Linked DNA regions of Tribolium castaneum. The protein of the gene in region 1 purifies or fractionates together with the protein of each later gene. This does not show direct contact. Links are inferred from orthologs where the notes say so. Each region holds a gene or a part of one and is shown on either strand. Other genes may lie near its edges.

Region 1 (3,925 bases):
GGTTTTTGGAATTTTAAAATAATAAATCTTAATAAAAACACATTCTTTTATTTACCACTTCACTACAATAAGATCTAAAAATAATATCTAAAGCACCAGAAATAAAATTCAAGGTAAGTATTGAAAGTACCAAAATAATTCAACATTTTAAAACACTAAAAAAAAGATCTAAGCTTACTTTTTCAAATGCCCAAATACGATTTTAAAAAATGATTGCGATTTGTCCAAGGAACAAGGGTGCTGTATTTTTTTTAATGACTTAAACTAGGATATAAGATGAAGGAATACTGAAAATTGTTTTAAAAAACTTGATTAATCGAAAAAGCAATAAAAAAACAGTACCGTAAAATTTTCTCACAAAAGTACATAACTTTTATCAAGCAAACTTCAAATTTTATAGTTATATTCACATTACCTTACCTGACTGCCTTAAATACAGAGGTGGGCAAAAGTATGGAACGAGTTTTTTCAAAAATAAATTTTCGAAATTCTTTTTAGTAAGTATTAGTACTTTTAGTATTTTAGAGCATAATCTTTTATCAAAAAAATTATCGTAATAGGGTGCCATTTGAAGAAAAAAAATTTTGAATACTTTAAAACTATTATCTGGGATATAATGGTGTAATGAAAAACGAATAGTATATGAGAAATTTTTATTAACCGAAAATACAATATCAAAACGAAGTAATGAAAACATTGGTCATTTGAACAGTTTTTTGTGCTGTTGACTAATGAGCAATATCAACAAATTAACACTTTATCAACAAAAACACGTTAGGCATTCTGCACCGCTTTTTTGGCGGCATCGTCGAGATTTTCAGCTGTTTGGATATTCATGCCTGAATCCTTGATAATTCTCCGGGCCTCCGCCGCATTCGTGCCTTCCAGTCTGACAATCAAAGGCACTTCAAGCTTCATCGCCTTCATTGCACCCACGATTCCATTGGCAATCGTCGCGCAATTCACGATCCCGCCGAAAACGTTGACCAAAATACATTTAACGTTCTTATCAGACGTGAGAATATTGAACGCGGCTTTGACCTGCTCCTCGCGGACGCTGCCCCCGACGTCGAGGAAGTTGGCGGGGTCGCCCCCATGCAGCTTGATGATGTCCATGGTGGCCATGGCCAAACCGGCGCCGTTGACCAAACAGCCGATGTTTCCTGTCATCCCGATGTAGTTCAGGTTGTATTTCGCCGCTTCGACCTCGCGGGGGTCGCTCTCGGTGACGTCCTCCAACGCGAAGATGTCCTTTTGGCGGAACTGCGCGTTGTCGTCGAAATTGATTTTCGCATCCACTGCGATCACTTTATTGTTGTCCGTTTCGACCAAAGGGTTGATTTCGAGCTGAGTGGCATCGACGGCGAGGAAGAACTGCCACAGTTTTTTCAGCTCGGCTGCGGCCAAACCCTTGAGGGGCCCCTTGAACTCCAGGAACTCGGCCACCTCATTGGCCATACTATCGGTCACCCCCTTGTGAATATCAATGGGGATGTTTTTGATCAAATGGGGCGTCTTCTCAGCCACGGCTTCGATGTCCACGCCGCCTGCGGGGGACGCAATTAAGACAGGCCCGTTCTTCTGCCTGTCCATTAAAATGCAAACGTAGGTCTCCCTCTGAATGTTCACACTTTCGGCAATCATGATTTTTTTCACCTCGATGCCGTCCTTGGGCGTCTGCTTCGTGATAAGCCTGTGGCCGAGCATTTTTTTGACGATATCGTCGACTTCATTGCGTCTGAAACAAACGCTCAATTTTGACAAAACCACAAAAAAAATTTTACTTCTCAGTGACATGAACCCCGCCTTTAAAACCATTGGTAAAGTGGCCTTTGCCGCGACCACCCGCCAGAATTTGTGCCTTTATTACGTATTCTTTCACATCTGCAAAAAATTAAACAGTGACATAACCCCAACTTTTATTAACACTTTTACTAAATTTATCGAACTCGGAGCATCCCTTATCATCAACCATGCAAAAGTCTTGCACAGCCACCCCATTTTTGCGCAAAAGGTGCTTGCTTTGGTACTCCAACAGGTTCAAATAACGCACCGGAACCTGAAAATGATTGAGGTTATGTCATGTTTTTTGCGAATTTGTAAAAAAGTTACGGAGAATTGTTTTATCTGAGTCGGGACTTTTAAAAGAGAGTTCCAGAGGGAAGACATTGTTTGGTTTTCGCAATAAAGGCACTGCACACTTATCACTGGTATTTATCTAATTGGGGAACAGCACGAATGCACAAAGTCCAAATGTCTGAATGTTTTATCTGAAATAATTGTCCATAAAAAAAGACGGAGCGAGAAATTGCTCAGTGACGCAACTTTCGGCCAATTTGTGGGATAATTAAGCAAAACACACTCCTTAAGTTATTTTATATTGATCTAGGTTAGGTTTTTCCCATAACTCTAGGAAAAAAGCATTGATTTTGATTTTTGGTAAAGGGAAGGTAATAAAAACGATTTTTCGATTTTCTTACGCAAAAAACTGTATTTTTTATACACATATTTATACTTTTTCCACCTGTGCTAATTAGGTTTCTAGGTTAAGAATGCGGGATTTTATTTTAAAACAAACTAAACGGGACAGATAAATATCTATTAGTTTTTATTTTTAGTACACATTTAATATTTTTAATAACTATTTACAAAAATAGGCGTTTTGATTTAAATAAGGGGCTGTGCTCGCCATTGGTGGAATCTATATGTCATTGTACATAAATGGCCAATAACAAACTAGATAAGTATGTACAGTGAAGGTCACAAGATAATTATTTTTGGACACTATTTTTACAAAGGTGATGACAAAAACAATAAAATTGTTGTAACGACACATCTACAGTCGAAATATATTTATAAATGCGTTTGTTAAGCACCGATATGTACATATTTTCCCGTCTACCTGATTCCGCTGACATTTATAAATAGAATTAAAAAAACTTAATAGTCCTGTCTTGTCGCCCAAAAACGTATCACAAGTGATGAGACATCTAAATATATTTAGTTAATTGAAAACTGGTTTGCAACTTATTTTTAATATCCCATATGAAGATGATTTTCCCGCTCCCTCGATCGCTTTTTCAATAAAACAATGCAAATTAGGAGCAAAGCGAGCAGGGCGATCACAAGAGCCACCAAAGTGTACATTGCATGCCGGAAACCTGCAGCCGGGTCTAGAACTTACCAAATAAAATGCAACTTTGTGAATTAGTTATTACCTGGACTATTTTGTAGCTCCCGCGGGATGTTATTCGATAAATTATTCTTAATATTGGCCATTTTTGGCACGAGCTGGTTCCAGAACAAAACCCTCTGGACGCGTTTTTTATTTTCTTCATTTATGTGGGAATTAACCGGCCCAAAATTTTCGATATAATAGTCCCCCGAGGTGTATTTTCGCCACGATCTGACCTGATTGTTTAGTGTCGGCTCCCTGAAATTTTTTCCTAGACTTTGGACTATTCATGTTGGGGGAAATACCCAAACATTATAAAGTTGGTCCATAACTGTTTGATTTGTCGACTCAAATTCATTTCGTTGGCGTTGAACCGCCGCCTGGCCACTTGCTTCAGCAAAATCGGTCCAAATACCAAGAGAAGGTCTGTGGTAATGGTCGAATCGGTTGTATTGAGAACAAACCCAACATCATCCATAAAATAAACATAAATTGGTTGCACGTATGACGAAATCAGGTGCGAAAGTTGCAAAAAATGTGGCGCTTCCACTTTGGCCTGAAACTCAAAATCTTTCAACTCGTCGTAGAGGAGTCTAACGTCCCCTTGGTTCGACGAGAAGTACTGCCACCTGATAAGGTCATAAATGTGGTCTTTGTTGGACGCCCCGAGTTTATACAAACGCGCAATTTCGGGGATTTTCACCTTTTCGACGTATTGTTGTAACTGGGTGAAGCCCTGACTTGCGAGTT
Region 2 (3,925 bases), about 510 kb from region 1:
GCTGAAAATAAAATTGATAATCTGGAATTAAAACACACAAAAAGATTTAAAGCCAAAAATCTTGGTGGTTCTCGTATTTCCTCAAGTTTTCATTGCATTTTATAAGGGAATAATTCCTTTATTCCCTTCAACAATTACTGTTTAAATCCGCGAAAGTAATAATAAAATACGATTAAATAACCATTTCCGGGTTATAGTTTCAATTAATTTCCATTAATGAAAACGGATGCGGCTTACTCATTTATGTAATAACCAGAGATTGAACTGTTAGAACAGTGTTCAAGGTATTTTCGATATGACCAATAAAGCAACCGAACTTCGACCTTTGGTCCACCTAGACTCAACCACGTTGTAAATTTTGATTTTTATCAATTTGCTCGAAATTTGTTCAATGTAAATAAAAGTTCGTGTGCCATCTAACGTCTCGTTTATTGGAAAATGAAACAAATGTTTAAAACAACAATTTTTACTTAACGAATGAAATAACAATGTTACTGGAACACATCTTATCAACATTAATAAGCGGATTAAATACACTCTGCTTAGGTATAATCGATTTTAATGGATAAACTATAATACAATATCAATTGACATGAAGCGCGTTTATGCCAGGCCTAAACGGCGCATTTCTTTCAATAACTCGTTGCCCATTTGAGCGGGTGATTTGGTAACGATGGCTCCGGCCTTCTCTAAGGCATTGATTTTGTCTTGGGCGCCCCCTTTGCCCCCGGAAATGATCGCCCCAGCGTGGCCCATGCGCCGGCCGGGAGGCGCCGACAGCCCCGCAATGAACGAAACGACAGGCTTCGCATTAGGCCCCTGCTCAAAACATCATTAATAAGTTAACACAACGAAAAACACGAACGTACAGTATTGTGTTGCATGAGATACTCTGCAGCTTGCTCCTCGGCGACTCCTCCAATCTCCCCAATAAGGATAATACCTTTCGTTTCGGGGTCCTTCAAGAACACCTCGAGACAGTCAATGAAGTCCGTCCCGTTGAAGGGATCGCCGCCAATCCCCACACAGAGAGTTTGACCTAAACCGACTTGGGTAGTTTGGTGGACAGCTTCGTACGTCAGAGTGCCGGACCTCGACACCACCCCAACGACTCCTTTTTGGTGGATGTGTCCGGGCATAATACCAATTTTGCACTGATAATGAATGGGTCATAAGGGGGCAAAAATTAGGGGCGGATTACCTGCTCGGGGGCAATGATACCCGGACAGTTCGGGCCTACCAACCGACTTTTGTTCTGACGAAGAAGCCTATGTTTTACTTTAACCATGTCTTGTTGAGGAATGCCTTCAGTGATACAGACTATTAGAGGTATTTCCGCGTCCATTGCTTCCAGAATGGCGGCGGCAGCCCCCGGGGGCGGCACGTAGATGACTGAAGCGTCGGCATTTGTGGCCGCCTTCGCCTGACAACAAACAATCAGTACCAAAGGGCCACTTTATCGCGACATTTTGGAAAATTTTCAAGGTTTTACCACTTGCCAAGCCGTGATTATGCAACTAACGCAACTAAATTAGCTTTGAAAACAATAAAGACAAGGTGCGTTGTGTTTTGAGCGTTATTTATGGTCGGTGTTACATATCTGGCGCTGTTTTTTCGGCAAACTAACCTCTTTGACACTGTTGAAGACGGGCAAGTCCAGGTGGGTCTTGCCCCCTTTTCCGGGAGAGACCCCCCCGACCATTTTAGTGCCATATTCGATGGCCTGTTTACTGTGGAAGGTCCCCTGTTTTCCCGTAAACCCCTGACAGATGACTTTCGTGTTCCCGGTCAACTTCAGGTTCATTCGAGTGGCCTCATAGCTATTAAACCGGATCGATTGTCCAACTTTCAGGCTGTCGGCTGCAAGTACAACACATTATCAATAAATTTGTGAACTTTGCACCTGTTAGGTTAAGTGTTTGAAATATTTTTTTTCGCCCTAAAATGACACTTTACGCCCAAAAATACATTCAAATGAAGCGGACACGGAACGATTGTTCCAGTCTATTTTAAAAACAAATTTAATTCAGAGTTATGTAATTTCTCACTTACGAATTATTCGGCTCAATATCCTGGTATGTGTGGCCATTGCGACGATTCGCTTTTGTCACCAGTGCTAAAACCAAGTGCGTTATTTTACCGTTCAACATGTCGTTTTTAAAATTAACTTTGTTTTAGGAAAATTAACACAAAAGTAGAAAATTAGGCAAACATTTACCGAAAGTTCAGTCGAAAGCGATTTTCACAATGCACTTGCTGCTATGGTGGCGCGACCTGCGGCGGTTCTATTAGTAGCTTTTGGTAAAATTGCAGGTCACGTGGCCCCTCGTTCGCTTTGCCGCCGACAGATGATGCTATTCCGTAGTCATTTTCAAAATTTAAACGCTATGTGTTTAAAAGATTTATATAATTTTACAATAAAACATTGAATAATGCAAGAAATCGTTTATTTTCCTCGTTTTGTGCGCTCGAAATCAAATTAAGTAAAAAAAGGTGATCTGATGTTATTTCATGAGATAAATGCGAAGTTGTGGTTTTGAGCAAAATTATCAAGCCATTAAATTCGCGTTTTAAACAAAAACTTAAAAAATGTAGTATTTTGACCATACATAGCACCAAATAAATATGAAGCCGTTTTAGCTTTTAAATAAAAAACAGCCAATTCTTAATAACATTTATTTATTCAAAGATCAGATACAGATTATGTTACAACAGAGACCGTTTCTTTAAGGCGCTCAAAAAATGAAGCATTGGCATTGTTTCCGCCCAAATGCAAGTGTTTAAGCGATTTTAAATGGACAAACGGTTGGCTCGTTATAGTGGACAAATTATTATGTGACAAGTCAATGGTATAAATATTTTCCAAGTTTGCAAAAGTGTTTCCTTCAATTTCGTCCAAATTGTTGTTATCCAACCTTAAGAACTTTAAGTTATTTAAGTGAAAAATTCCCGCAAGAGTTTTGATATTGTTGAAATGGAGAAGTAAAGTGTTCAGTTTGTGCACAGCATTAAACACGTCTGTGTTTACAATTTCCAATTTATTGAAACTCAAATCAATTACTTCCAGATTTGGAATATCCGCAAAAGCATGCATCTCAATTTTTTTAATTTGATTGTGGTCAAGAAACAAATGATTCAACTCGTTAAGATTACTAAACAAATTACTCTGAATTGTCTGAATTTTATTTTCAGCAAGGTTAATTTGTGTCACACTTTGCAAGCCAACGAATGATTTTGGTTCACACGACGAAATATTATTCTTCGGTAAAAGTAAAAATACTAAATTGTCAAGTCCGACAAATGTGTCGTTTTTCAAAACAGGAAGGTAGTTTCCTGTGATTCGGAGATAATTTAAATTAGTCATACCATAAAAGGCAAATTCGTCGATTTGTACTTGATTATTATCGATAATGTTGTAGTTAATGAGATGTTGATAATTTGTCAGATTGTGGTGATAAGGGGCGAATCGTACGTTGCTGTTTCTTATCATTAGCATTCGGGTTTGGGGTGTGATAAACCCGTCAATATTTTTCACACTGTCTGACAAATCCTGGCATCCAAAAATTGATTTGTTCATAGAGTAGGAGCACTTATTATTAATTTCCACGTCTTGGCACGACGATAGGGCAATGCATGCCAGGAACAAAATTACAGTTTTCTACAAAATTAATCAAAAATTTTCACCCAAAAGTTGCGAATACATACCATAAGTAACATGTTATTTCATTCAACTTAATCCTCTTATTACTGAATACAGTCAGAACCGATATCTGGGTTACCAGGGTTATCAATCAGTTTAAATTCAAAATACGAACCATTTTCTTGCGGTGTATTTTAGTCAAATATTTTGATACTATCAAATTATATTTAGAACAGTGCCTCAATATGCACTGATTAGTTGGGACAAGAAATGCATTCGTGTGAG

The links.
Region 2: the proteins of ScsbetaG (region 1) and Scsalpha1 fractionate together in Homo sapiens (co-fractionation; 6 studies listed by BioGRID and IntAct, counting the BioPlex papers as one, with this or other methods). This does not show direct contact. The link is inferred for Tribolium castaneum from reciprocal best matches to the Homo sapiens genes SUCLG2 and SUCLG1.

Annotation. Positions count from the first base shown.
Region 1 is NC_087403.1:5,255,529-5,259,453, reverse strand, and holds ScsbetaG (succinate--CoA ligase [GDP-forming] subunit beta, mitochondrial), read right to left. Parts: upstream 2,380-3,925; 5' UTR 2,170-2,379; coding exon 2,113-2,169; intron 2,060-2,112; coding exon 1,936-2,059; intron 1,885-1,935; coding exon 1,785-1,884; intron 1,739-1,784; coding exon 775-1,738; 3' UTR 640-774; downstream 1-639. Other genes in the region: pyrethroid hydrolase Ces2a, read right to left, coding at 3,034-3,173, 3,219-3,433, 3,481-3,925. UniProt on the Homo sapiens protein: GTP-specific succinyl-CoA synthetase functions in the citric acid cycle (TCA), coupling the hydrolysis of succinyl-CoA to the synthesis of GTP and thus represents the only step of substrate-level phosphorylation in the TCA.
Region 2 is NC_087403.1:4,748,669-4,752,593, forward strand, and holds Scsalpha1 (succinate--CoA ligase [ADP/GDP-forming] subunit alpha, mitochondrial), read right to left. Parts: upstream 2,347-3,925; 5' UTR 2,219-2,346; exon of another isoform or gene 2,169-2,218; intron 2,117-2,168; 5' UTR 2,090-2,116; coding exon 2,053-2,089; intron 1,861-2,052; coding exon 1,628-1,860; intron 1,424-1,627; coding exon 1,202-1,423; intron 1,155-1,201; coding exon 870-1,154; intron 820-869; coding exon 604-819; 3' UTR 451-603; downstream 1-450. Other genes in the region: leucine-rich repeat-containing protein 70, read right to left, coding at 2,702-3,658, 3,706-3,717. UniProt on the Homo sapiens protein: Succinyl-CoA synthetase functions in the citric acid cycle (TCA), coupling the hydrolysis of succinyl-CoA to the synthesis of either ATP or GTP and thus represents the only step of substrate-level phosphorylation in the TCA.